Regions from separate parts of the Mus musculus genome. Here regions 1, 2 and 4 are each reported to be linked to region 3. Evidence: microRNA targets listed by miRTarBase, many of them from high-throughput screens and not tested one by one. Region 3 holds a microRNA gene; each other region holds the end of a gene's coding sequence.
Evidence for each region. The annotated mature microRNA mmu-miR-186-5p reads CAAAGAAUUCUCCUUUUGGGCU and lies in region 3 at 1,077-1,098, opposite strand. An mRNA with a match to its seed (bases 2 to 7 or 8) in the 3' UTR can be bound and repressed. Matches are read on the target gene's strand: a 7mer-m8 pairs with bases 2 to 8, a 7mer-A1 pairs with bases 2 to 7 and ends in A, and an 8mer does both.

Region 1: the mRNA of Stk32a is a reported target of mmu-miR-186-5p. Seed matches in the 3' UTR shown: 7mer-m8 at 2,280-2,286.
Region 2: miRTarBase lists Sp1 as a target of mmu-miR-186-5p. Seed matches in the 3' UTR shown: 7mer-A1 at 1,874-1,880.
Region 4: miRTarBase lists Peak1 as a target of mmu-miR-186-5p. Seed matches in the 3' UTR shown: 7mer-A1 at 826-832.

The regions. Positions count from the first base shown.
Region 1 is chr18:43,314,741-43,317,841 of GRCm38, reverse strand. Stk32a (serine/threonine kinase 32A) reads right to left here. Exons shown (of 13, transcript NM_178749.3): 13 at 361-2,787. The coding sequence ends at 2,688. Among named protein-coding and RNA genes, the nearest start is that of Gm31647, 66 kb to the right of the region's middle.
Region 2 is chr15:102,430,507-102,433,607 of GRCm38, forward strand. Sp1 (trans-acting transcription factor 1) reads left to right here. Exons shown (of 6, transcript NM_013672.2): 6 at 219-3,101. The coding sequence ends at 526. Among named protein-coding and RNA genes, the nearest start is that of Amhr2, 13 kb to the right of the region's middle.
Region 3 is chr3:157,542,282-157,545,382 of GRCm38, reverse strand. It overlaps Mir186 (microRNA 186), which reads right to left and starts at 1,104; the gene lies at 1,034-1,104. It overlaps Zranb2 (zinc finger, RAN-binding domain containing 2), which reads right to left. Exons shown (of 10, transcript NM_017381.3): 8 at 2,139-2,225; 9 at 261-419.
Region 4 is chr9:56,203,996-56,207,088 of GRCm38, reverse strand. It overlaps Peak1 (pseudopodium-enriched atypical kinase 1), which reads left to right. Exons shown (of 7, transcript NM_172924.3): 7 at 1-3,093. The coding sequence ends at 641. Among named protein-coding and RNA genes, the nearest start is that of Peak1os, 36 kb to the left of the region's middle.

The DNA.
Region 1 (3,101 bases), not on the chromosome of region 3:
AGTAGTCCCACTGTTTTCTGAAGTTCTCGGCCCTAATCCTTCTCAGAAATGTGGCTGTTTCATCTGTTGGGTGCTAACTTTGAGCTGCAGTTAGGAAATAAGACCAAGAAGTATTTACTACGAGCTCTTGGAAAAGTTTTCTGTTGTTTGTTTTGTTATTGATGCTTTTCCTCTTCTTTAAAAGGTACAGCAGTAGGTGGTGCTCAGAACCAGCTATTCTGCACAGCCGGATTCAGTGATTCTGTCTCTGGGGATGCTGGGGATCTACCCAGGTCTTCGTGCATGCTAAGCACAGATTCTACTACTGAGCCACAGCCCAAGCACAATGGATTTCTTTTGTGTGTTTGTTTGTTTTTTTTTCCTTTTAACTGACCACACACGGTGTGCCTGTCATTGACCCACCTCCCACCCTGCACTTTCACCAGCATATCCCCAGTTCTGAAAGCAACCGTGCTCAGAAAGATGCCCACTGGGAAGAAAAACTAGAGATTTGAACTTGAGACCTGCTGGCCCTGCTGGCCTTTAGAACGATTTGAAAGCTGCTGTTTTGGAGGATGCAGGCAAGGTCCAGGAGAAGGTGGGGCCAGGTGAGGGCAGGTAAATCCATAACACCTCTAACACGTTGGGTCTTCAATACAGAAGAACAAAAGGCAAAAACTGGAGCATGCATGTGGTCCCTGACACTTGTGGGGTATCAGCCGGGAGCAGAATCGAGTCGTCTCTGGGTTGCTATGTTTGACCCATTCATCCCTCTGAAGGTCAGGGCAGATGCTTTGAGATAAACAGTGATGGAATATGACCAAAATGTCACAAATAAAACGTCAGACAGAACCTCAGAGACAGGAGCTCAATAAAAGAGGTGGGTTTTGATTCTTAAAAATGTGCGTGTGCGTGTACGTGCTGGCGTGCGTGCGTGCGTGTGCGTGCATGTGCGTGCATGCATGCGTGCGTGCGTGTGCGTGCGTGCGTGCTTGTGTGCGTGCGTGCGTGCGTGCGTGCGTGTGTGTGTGTGTGTGTGTGTGTGTGTGTTTGCTCTTAGTAGAGAGGCACTATGTCCCAACCACGCCAGAATCTGGCGAACTGTAAATGCCAGTCTTACCCTCAGCTCTTGTTTTCGACACAAACTTTCTTGCCCCAGTAGCTACCCTCTACTTCCATGTCTGCCTTTCCCAAATGATATCAATCAATCAAGCTGGTCACTTGGACCAGCTTGCTGCCACCATGGCTATGCCTGTACTCTCCATAAGGAATACCATTAATGGCCTCGGTTTCCCCAAGAGTTGAAAACATGCTTTGTAAAGCCACCTACGTCATGATTCTACCTAGCGTCACCAGTGGGGCACTCGAAGAAGTTCTTCAAAGATCTTGTATGCGTGAGCACAGGGCAGTTACAACACATACACAGTTAAGGTGACTGACACTCTGCACATGAGTGAAATACACAGACAAGAAAGTGTCAGACTTCAACAATATGTTAAGCAGCAGGGCAATTCTGCCAGCCATCTCACAGTGATTACATAACGTGGGGGCATCGGTCTCCCTGAATTTGACCTCTGGGATCTATAAGCCATCCTGCTTCTTTAAGTGTAACTCTTGAGTAGATATGTGTAAATTGTTCCCTATTTTAGTTAACCAATACAAAAAATAAAGAGCCAAACAACACAAAGACGTGATATATTTCTTGACAAAAAAGCAACTGACTTTTTTTCCCCCTTCACTTTGTAGAGTTAGGAGTTTCAAGGGAAAGTTTGCTTGCTTCCAAAACTCCTGGAAATCTCTCCTGTGAGGTGTGACTTCACTGAATAGTTCCAAGTAACTCTACCTGTAGTTCAGGAGTACTCTCTGATCCTCTGGAGAAGCAGGTCTCTGCTAACCTTGAGGAAAATTAGCCTTCAAGGGACAAACATACCAGAGTCTGATATTTTACAACTGCCATGTTGGAAAAAAAAAAATGTGTCCCAACTCCCAGCATTTGCTAAACTTCTGCATATGACTCCTCTCATCAGAATCAAGTTTAACTGATCAAGGCCACCTCACACAAGAGAGCGTGAGAGGCCATGCACATAGTAGGCACTTGCAAACAGATTCCGTGCCCATCCAGTTCCCCACTTCAAGATCTCATGAGTCTTTGCTACTTCTAATCTAACCTATGTATTTATTCCCGATGGAACATCTTTATTCCTACCTAATCAAGCTTTGGAATTCTGGCCCCTGTGTGATATTCTCTAGCCCTGAAGAGGCCCACTATGTACAGTGTCCATGTTTCACAGTGTCATCAGAAAGAATAAAAAATAAATCTACATTCAAATATTCATTTAAAAATAAGAATAAAGGCTGTTTAGAGCAATCTGTAGCCAGAGCAAAGAGTAGCTCTCCTGAAATATCCCTCTACCTTCCAAGCGGTGAACTAAAACAGAGGAAGCAGTTAAATGATTCACTTAAGGTCACAGAGTCAATGCGTGCTGAAGCTGGAACTGAAGAGCTCAGAACCAGGGCTCTCTTCCTCTCCTGTCGCTGCAGAGTGCTGCCACCAACTTCGAAGACTACTCATTCATATTCTCTAAGTCATGAGGTGTGGCAGTGGCAGGGACTCCTGTCAGCTCTTCTGTGTGTGATAATCAGGACTTTCCCGCCAGGTGCCAAGAACTGTCCCCCGAAGCACTGTCCCCCGAAGACTCGGAAGCACTTTATAGGTTGTTATTCTGGCCGTCCTCCTCCTCTTCTGTGTTGTTTTTGGTTTGTTCCAAGGCTAGATTTGCTTGTCTCTGATTAAAGTCACTTTTTACTCTGAATGGAGGGAAGGATGGACAGAGGGAGGGTGAGAGGGAGGGGTTAAGGGAAGGAGGGAGGGAGAGAGTGTCATTCATTAAAGGAAAAATGAATTTAAACTTTTGAAATGATAACGTGTAGTCCAATATTTTTCATTCTTTTAAAACAATTAAAATATGATTCCATCATTTCTCCCTCCCTTTTCTCCCTTCCGCCCTTCTCGTGTCTGACCCAGCCCCTCCCAAATCAACTGCCTTCTCCTCTTTAAACATTGTTGATACAAAAAACAAATGAATAAATATATGGATACAAGCTGCTGAGTTCATTCGGTG
Region 2 (3,101 bases), not on the chromosome of region 3:
TTCTGTCTTTCTATAATAAAGCTCTAAAACCATAAAAAGAAAAGAAAAAAGAAATGATATGCCCATGAAGCAAACTGAAATTCCTAAACAATGTATATGTGAAACTAAGCGTGTCTCCAAGAGTACTTGAATTAGTCCAGAAGGATACACATCAACCTCAACTTTGTTCTGACTGCTTTTTGGCTAATTTATCTTTTTTTTTTTTTTTTTTAAACTAGGAGAGAAGAAATTTGCCTGCCCTGAGTGCCCTAAGCGTTTCATGAGGAGTGATCACCTGTCAAAGCATATCAAGACTCACCAGAACAAGAAGGGAGGCCCAGGTGTAGCCCTGAGTGTGGGCACATTGCCCCTGGACAGTGGGGCAGGTTCAGAAGGCACTGCCACTCCTTCAGCCCTTATTACCACCAATATGGTAGCCATGGAGGCCATCTGTCCAGAGGGTATTGCCCGTCTTGCCAACAGTGGCATCAACGTCATGCAGGTGACAGAGCTGCAGTCCATTAATATCAGTGGCAATGGTTTCTAAGATTAGACACCCAGTGCCAGAGACATATGGGCCAATACCCACTAAGCCCGGGATGCAAGGTAGCATGGGTCCAAGAGACATCTGGAAGAGAGAGCCATGAGGCATTAATGTGCTTGGTGGTAGGAAGAATTGGGAGATGGTACAAAAAAAAGAGATGGGATTGTGGCACCCAATGTCACTGGTGACTCCTTGAAAATGGAAAATATTAGTGAAAATTCTGTTGGTGCCACCCTTTGATCAGCATTTATCTCATCCCAGGTTCTTCTTACACTTCTTACCCCAGCCTCCTCTTCCTGTTTTTCCCTCTTAGCTCTCCCATGATGGATTCCCCCCCCCTTTTCCTAAAGCCATCATGCCTTGATAAATATATATGATCATTGAAATACTTTTTAACAAAAACAGATTCTATATTATATATATATATATATATTAAAAAATATATAGAGATGCTTTCACAGGGGCTGGCTGGGAGGAGGAAAAAGACCATTCTGTGACCAAAATACCTTGGTCTTTTTTTCTTTTCTTTTCTTTTCTTTTTTTTAAAAAAATTGCCTTATTTCTCAATGGCTGAGCCTTATCATGACACATCAAGCTTTCCTTATAAATGTTGTCCTGGCATCCCACCAGAGTAAGCATTCATACTTTCTGCTTTTAGTTCATATATACATATATAATGTGTCTTCTTTCTTAATTTTGTTATTTTATTTGGGATCAGCTCCTTGCACTCCTTTCCTGACTTAATCCTTGTCTCCCTTTCCTCACACGATCACTTCCTGTGTTGTTTTTGACAGTGATTCCTGGATTAGGCACTTGTGTTAATATTTTAAAGACTTTAGTTCCAGCAACAGAGTGGAAAAGCCTGAAGTATAGTCTGATGCTTGAAGTAGCTATGGAGGGAGTGTTCAAAATACTACTGACGCAAGCACCTTAGTGCTGGAGAGTCAAAACCATCTCCCTTTTTTAGCTGTTCTAAACATCAGAAATCAGAAGTCTTTCTGTGGAATTGTACAAGAGGCCCTTTGAAGGAGATATACTTCCAAAATGGTCAAATAGTAGGCAGCAGCTTTCAGTATGAAAAAGATGTTCTCAGAAAAGGAAATAACTCTTAGTCTTGGGTTCAGAAGTTAGTGGAATTATTCGGATTTCAGTATCATTGTCTTCCAAATAGCTATAAGCCTCAATGTATGGGCTTCTGAGTTCACACTCTGAAAGGAAGTACACTTCCTCTTTTGAACATTTCTGTAGTTCCTTCCTATTACTGTTTTAATGTTAAGGAGCATCAGCCAGTGAACCTGTTTGGATTTTCCATCCTGTAGAGTGCAAAACTTGTGCCAGTGGCAAAAGTGGTTCTTTAAAAAAAAAAAAAAGTCCCCCTTAACTCTTCCTTAGATATACTTGGGTGGTTCCTAAGGGAAAGGGAAGCACACAATCATGGGAACGATAGCCCAGAACAAAAAGAAATCTTGTCTTACCACTGTGGATTATAGGAGAAACTGGGAGAAATTATCCTGCTTTCTCTATGGCCTGATTCCAGAAGAGACTGATCCAAACATTTTATCGGCAGGGAAACTCAGTGCGTTTGGCACTGAGACTTAAATGCAACCAGAATTGTCCTCAAGGCCCAGCCATTAAAGCATTGTCTCTCTAGACCTTGTGCTATCTTGTCAGAGAGCTTTTCACTGTGAGGAAGTATGGGAGTGGTTGAGTGTATGTGTGAGATCTGTTAGGTTGGGGATAGGTTTTCTGTTAGCCAATATTTAAAGAGACCTGCAATAAAAAATTACCCTGATCTGATAGAGAAACTAAATTGTTTTTGTATGACTGCGTGTGAATGTATTTGTGCCTGTATATATCTACATGCAGATGAGAACTTATATTTGAAATTGTTGGAAAATAAATTCAGATCAAAACGCCTTTCAGGTCCAGTATCTAGAAATTGGTCATAAAACTTGGGTATGTTCCTAAGGTCAGTTCTCTGCTTATGCTAAATCGGTTAACAGTTATGGGGTTGGGGGGATATCCTAGTGCACTTTCTAAAGAAGAAACTATTTTTGTGTTTGAAAATGAAATCAACATCCAAATCTATAGTGGATTCCTTATTCTAACTTCTCTATCTTGGCTACAAATAGATTATAGTGTTATTATACATTTTATGTAAATTCCATCTAAACTAGGTTCTTGATAAGTTTATGGTATTGTTAGCTTGAAATACTAACATTAGTTTATTCCATTTGGTCCTTTCTATGCAGACTTAATACTGTTATCAAGACTCAGGAAATATTTCAAGGGACTGTCCCCAAATCACATGTTATTAATGTTGACGTAAAAGTTATCTGTCCTCAGCCACCATCACACCTTTTATTCCTAAAGAAAAGCAGAACTCAAACAAACCGTGTTATTTTACATTTATAATCATGTACTTTGCATCTCTGGAGGAAGAGGGCAGGATAACTCAGTGGAGTGTGCAGTATTTTGCTAGAAAATTTCAAGAAATAGAATCTTGTTCAGTATGAGGTGATTAGTTACAAGCCGGCTTCGAGATGCTGAGGACTATAAGCCTTTGGATAAGTTATCT
Region 3 (3,101 bases):
TTAGATCTTTAAAAACACAAAAATAACCGAGAGTTGGCTATAATATACGTGGAAATAAAATTTGAACAGTAAAATGATTAGAGAATATTCTGTCCTGTAATTTTTTTCTAATAAGCAAGATAAACAAAGTAATCTGAATTTTGAAGTTTAAAGATAAAAAATTTAAAGAACAAAGGAGAAAGAAATCTAACCCTTGCCTACAAAGTCCACCTATGAAATACACATAAGAACACCCATTCTTATTCTACAGAAACCCAAACCTTTCGGGTGACCGTGATCTCGTTCGTCTTTTTTTGCGAACAGCTGGTGAAGAAGGTCTAGAGCGACTCCTCTTCCTGTCTCTTTCAGGAGATGACGAAGAACTCGAATAAGATCTTTTTCTTGGGGAAGAAGAGCCCCTGTGGGACCTGGAGCTGGATCTTCATTGATTGAGAGACAAAGCAGACGTTTCATTAAAGGCAGAAGTGAAGACTGTCCAGTTCCCAAAAGCAAACAGGATTGTGACTATGAGGACTTTAGGAGGGAATACTTACTGCTTACTCAGAAGGCTTCTGGGTCAACCATCAACAAGTTCTATTTACACACAATCATTTCCTCTTTAAACCATTCTAAATAGTTACCCTTGGTAATTAAGAAGTAGTTTACTGAATTAAGACAGAATATTTTTATAATTGCTTATAGTGTTCCAATTTAAAGTATACAAACAGTGAAATCAATTCTGTGGTGACTTTATAGTCAGAAAATAGATCCTCCCATTTGTCAGGAAAATTCACTTTTTATAAAGCTTGCTGAAGACAATGAACTTAACTTCTTACAGGTGCTACAGACACCTGAGGGACATGGCCCAGAAAAAGAACACTGAAGCTGTGAAGTAGTCAATGAAAATGGCAACTCTACAATGTGATTTGTATGAGAACTGTGCTATGAAGTATGAAGTAGTAACATTTACATGTTTTAAGTGGAAGTAAATGTGTAATTTAAAGAGCAAATTTATCTCTATTTACATATTTTTAGTTGAAGGCATTTAGCTCAAACTTCCCAAAAAATTCACCTTAGGGCTTAAAATAAAATGAGAAAGCCCAAAAGGAGAATTCTTTGGAAAGTTGTAAGCAATTAAATGTTTGGGAAGGATATGAAGGCTGTCCTGTAAACCTCAGTCCTACAGTTCCCAGAGGGCCACACCAAGACTCCACAGTCTGAAGTGAGCACGGATAGTTAATGCAATAAGAAAGAAACCTTTGCTCTACTCAGCGCTGGTCAGCAGAGCACTGGTCAGTGCTCCATTACCCCTCTCTCTCCTCAGGGGGACTCAATGGCAGCTGCCTTCAAATGTTAGAATGGGCTCAAGTAAGTGAGTCTTTCTACAGAAGAGTTGTTAGGAAACGTCAATGTAAAAGCCACAAGTGAGATTTTAGAGGCTTTCGTATAAATGCTGTATGCCTGCAGGACACAACAATACAGTGACTGAACATGAAGGCAGCATAGTGAGCAAGTACAAAAAAGTTTTTCAAGGAACCAAAAGCCTAATGCTTCTATTGCCTTTTTTTTTTTTAACCAATCATTTTCCTTTGAAATACTCACAGCATGGCTTATATCAAACCATACTTAAGCCAACATCCTACATGACTTGGTTTTAAGAGGGGTGTTTGTTATACAGGTAATTTATAATATTCTTTAATGTCAGGGAGATGTAGTAAATACATAGAGCACTCACTAGAAACTGAGAAAAACCAGGCAAAGCTATTGTAAACATTTGCCTGAAATATAAAATGTTTCGAAGCTAGATGATGGAATGGTTGGTCTTCCTCTCAGAAATAACTTCTCACTTGTATGTCAAATTTAAATTAACTGTAAACATAAACTTAATATACCAGGTGGAGTAACTTGCCTTCACCTTCCTACATCACACGTATCTTAGCTATATGTGCAAGCCCCACCCCCTTTAATCAACCGTGGGAATGTGTGGCACGCTGTGCGGTGGGAACACTGTGTGGTGAGATTAAGCTGAGGTAGGTGCGTTAGATTCCCAGGGCTACAACAGAACGGACAAACAGAAGCAGGGCAATGAGAGAAGCAGCGGAGCCGTCTGAAGCCTGTGAGCACTCTCCTCTGCTCTACAGAGGCGCTACCTCATTCACCTTGATTTCGAACCACGGGATCTGGAATGTTCTCTGGAACCGGAGTGAGACCTGGACTGCGAACTGGAAGAGCTTCTTGAACGGGACCTGGAACAACACGGAAGCATTTTTTTCCCCTAGGACCACATTTTTGAGGTTTGTGATATGAACACTGAAAGAAAGACATATATTAAGAGTGCATTTTTCACATAAAAAGATGTCTATGCAAGAGATGCATTTTCCAAGCAAAAATACTTAAAACAAAGCTTCTTACTGTAATAAAGACTAAGTTTACAAGGAAAAAAAAATTAAAAGTTTCAGTGACCACTTTCCAAGCCCAATTAAACTGCCAAAAGGGAAGTAACAAGCACCATAGCTCACTGCAGACAATGTCACCTCACAGCTCACTGCAGACAACGTCACATTTACATTTAGATTCTCCAGTTCACTTTTCATTTTCATTTGAAAACCTATTTCCAGTCTAGTAAGCAGAAAACCCTAACTGCTATATCACATTTTGATGTCTAGCCTTCATTTTTAGAGAACTAAAGATTCAACAACCCAGTGCTCTACATGAATTACATTACTAACAGACTGTAGAGCCGAGGGAAAATCTAGCCCTCACACTCTGAAAACCACAAATGACATCCCTGACACCATTTTTAGTTTGTTCCCACAGAGACTATCACAGTTATCTCAGAATCAACTTTTTTTGGGGGAGAGGGGAGGGACTAGGAATTGAGCCTAGGGCCCCATATATGCTAGACAAGTATCTATCACTGAGGTATATTTCTCCAGCCCCCAAAATTAGCATTTTAGGCTTTATAGTACAAATTAAGTAGCTGGCAACATATTTTCTTCTCAAATATCATTAAAAATTGGCCATTAATGAATGTTGTGCCATAGAAAATCATTGTTTAGTTTTAATTATAATATCAAATGCATGTTTTAAACACCCAAATATTCTGGACTCTCTGGAAGCAA
Region 4 (3,093 bases), not on the chromosome of region 3:
AGGGCCCTTCTCCTGCAGACCCTTGCCCCACCTTAGCTTGTCCTACAAGGCTCATTGTGAGTAACTTCTCTCAGGCCAAGCAGAAGAGCCACCTGGTGGACCCCCAGATCCTCCGAGACCAGTCCCGCCTTGCCCCAGAGATCATCACGGCCACCCAGTATAAGAAGTGTGATGAATTCCAGACGGGCATTCTCATCTATGAGATGCTGCACCTGCCCAACCCTTTTGACGAGAACCCGGAGCTGAAGGAGAAGGAGTACACGCGCACAGATCTGCCTCGGATCCCTCTCCGCTCCCCGTACTCCTGGGGTCTACAGCAGCTTGCTAGCTGCCTCCTGAATCCCAACCCTTCTGAGCGCATCCTCATTTCTGACGCCAAAGGCATCCTCCAATGTCTGCTCTGGGGCCCCCGAGAAGATCTCTTTCAAATCTTCACCACCTCTGCAACCCTCGCACAGAAGAACGCTCTGCTCCAAAACTGGTTAGACATCAAGCGAACCCTGCTGATGATCAAGTTCGCGGAGAAGTCCCTGGACAGAGAGGGGGGCATCAGCCTGGAGGACTGGCTTTGTGCTCAGTATCTGGCCTTTGCCACTACAGACTCCCTGAGCTATATTGTAAAAATCCTGCAATACCGTTAATATGGCCCGGGCATTGCTTTTATTGTTAAATATCTCCACCTTCCTCATGTTACCCTCATGTCCCTGTCCTGGTATCCACTCAGAATTTAAGGAAAGGAAAGAAGCCAACTGCCACCCTTGTCCAGGGACATGGGCTCCATTCAGCAAGGTCACCTACAGCTTTCTACAGTGAATGGCTGAGTGTTTCTTTACTGTACAGCAGTTCAGCTGCACAAACATGCAGTCACCTTCCCTTGGAGCATTTGTCATCCCAATAGTCTCACAAATGTGGGGTAAAAAGTGAAAAATGCACAGCCATGAAGGAGCAGCTCCCATGGAATGATCTCACCAAGCTGCATACACCTCTTCCATAACTCTGAAGCTCGCCTGCATTAACTAGCTAGCAGTACACACATCACCAACCTCAGCTGTCACCCACTAATGCTCTCACAGCAGATTCCTCTCCCTTGAAGTGACCACCTCTTTCCCTAGAGGACATCCCATTATCCTTCTTGGCTCCGTTGTAGTCACTGGGGACTAGCCTTTGCTCTGGCATACAGTGAAAGGAGGGGACCCTACATAGAGAGCCACCCGGCAGCCGCAACCCTGCTGCCACTGCTTCACTGTCCTTCACCTTCACCCTGTCCCGCCTGCTGAAGTTTGGGTTTATCATTCACTTCTTGTGGTGGCCCATTACAAAGCTGACCAAAGGTGGTATCACCGATGCCTCAGCAGGATGAAATATAGTCCAGAGATTATGAATAGTTGGCAGGATATGAAGAAATAATGTCCTTATGTGTGCAATTCTCCAGGGGCCCTCAGGGAACAGACTTTCAAGTACTGTTCTTTGATTCCTGTCAGACCTACCCGCATGGCAGCCAGGCCTGGTGGTGTCTGTCTGAGTCAGAGTTTCTTCCCCCACAAGCAGTAATTGGCCAGCTTCCTTCCGTCAGTAAGCCGGTATTAACTAGTCTGCCAAATGCTGTCGGCAACAGCCCTGAGTGAGATGGTTATCCGTTTAGCGTCACCATCACCTTAGAAAGCTACCCGAAGCTGGCTATTGGAATGGCCGGAAGACAAGGGGAATGGGAAAGGTCACGAAGATGGCTGACCTGTTCCTCGGAGTGCGAGCCTCTTCCAGAAAGACTGCCTCCCAGAGTGAGTGGCACGTTGCTCCTAAGACTCTGCAGTGGGTCTGGAGCTCGGCTCACAGGAAGGCTGATGGCTGCAGTGGGTGACTGAGAGTTGTTCCCCGTGGAGCCCGGGCTCTCCCGTGAATTATGTGCAATTTTTGTATGTATTTTTAAGCTGTATATTACAGTGTTTATGTTGCAACTTTCCATGAGTGAGAACTGCAGAAGCCTTTCTGTCTTCCCTTGGCACATATTTGCGCTAAGAGGCGAGTGTCCTTTCCACCTGTGTGTATGTACACTCATGTGCTTGTTTTATTCAAAACTGTGAGTCTCTGTTTACTTCACCCTTGAAATCCCAAGAGTCACTTGAATGGTAAGTGAGTATGCGTGTGGAACCAACCATGTTGCATGCACATGCTGGAGCTAGGCTTCTGGGAAAGCAACCTACAGTGGGGTAGACAGATCCATTTTGTATACCTTGCCAGTGAAGAAAACCCAGAAAGCCCTGGTCCACCAGCGCCGAGTTGTCTTAAAGCCAAGACTGATTTTGTGCAGTATTATTTGGGTGGCACCTTAGTGGCCTTGGAAACTTGTAGACTTTTAACATTTTTAACAGCCTTTCACATGATTCACCTTTATCAAAGAGGATCAAAAAAGGAGAATGTATTTTATTATGCATTTTAAAAGAGAACGGTATGTGTGAGGCTGCATATGGAGGGTGGCTTGTGTTCCTGGCTAGTGCTCTGGACTCCCAGGAAAGAGAGCTGGTTGGCCCACAGTGTCTTGTGTCTCCTACACAGAATGACCATGGAGAGGGCAGCCATGAGTCATGGCTGCACCATGCCCAGCAGGCTAGGGTTTGAGTCAGCTTACATAGCCCATGGTCACAGAACTCCCTGCCTAATGATGCACTGAACTGGCTGCATAAAGACCACTGACCATGTCAGCGGGCACAGTCCTTCACTTTCCACAGTACTTGCAGATTGAGACATACCTTCTCCACGTCACGCTCATGGTGCCTTGCCCATGTAAATCTGAATGTTGACTATTTAATGAGGTTACATATTTAATGCAGAATGTTCCCTAGGCTCCTCTGTTTGTTCTGTCTGTAGAAATCTCTCTCTTTTTTTTCCTGTTATCTTAGATCCAGCCTTCTTTCACACTATAGTAGAAAAAGTGTGCACACTTCTGCTACCATTGTCTCACTGCATTGGTAAGCTGAGCATCCTCCCTCCACGTGACTCTCACTATTCTTATGACCGCACTAGTGAAGGACAAAGATGAAAACCAGCTAATAGGAAAAGAGCGTCCGACTTTCTAGAGACAGGAGTTAATTCTGT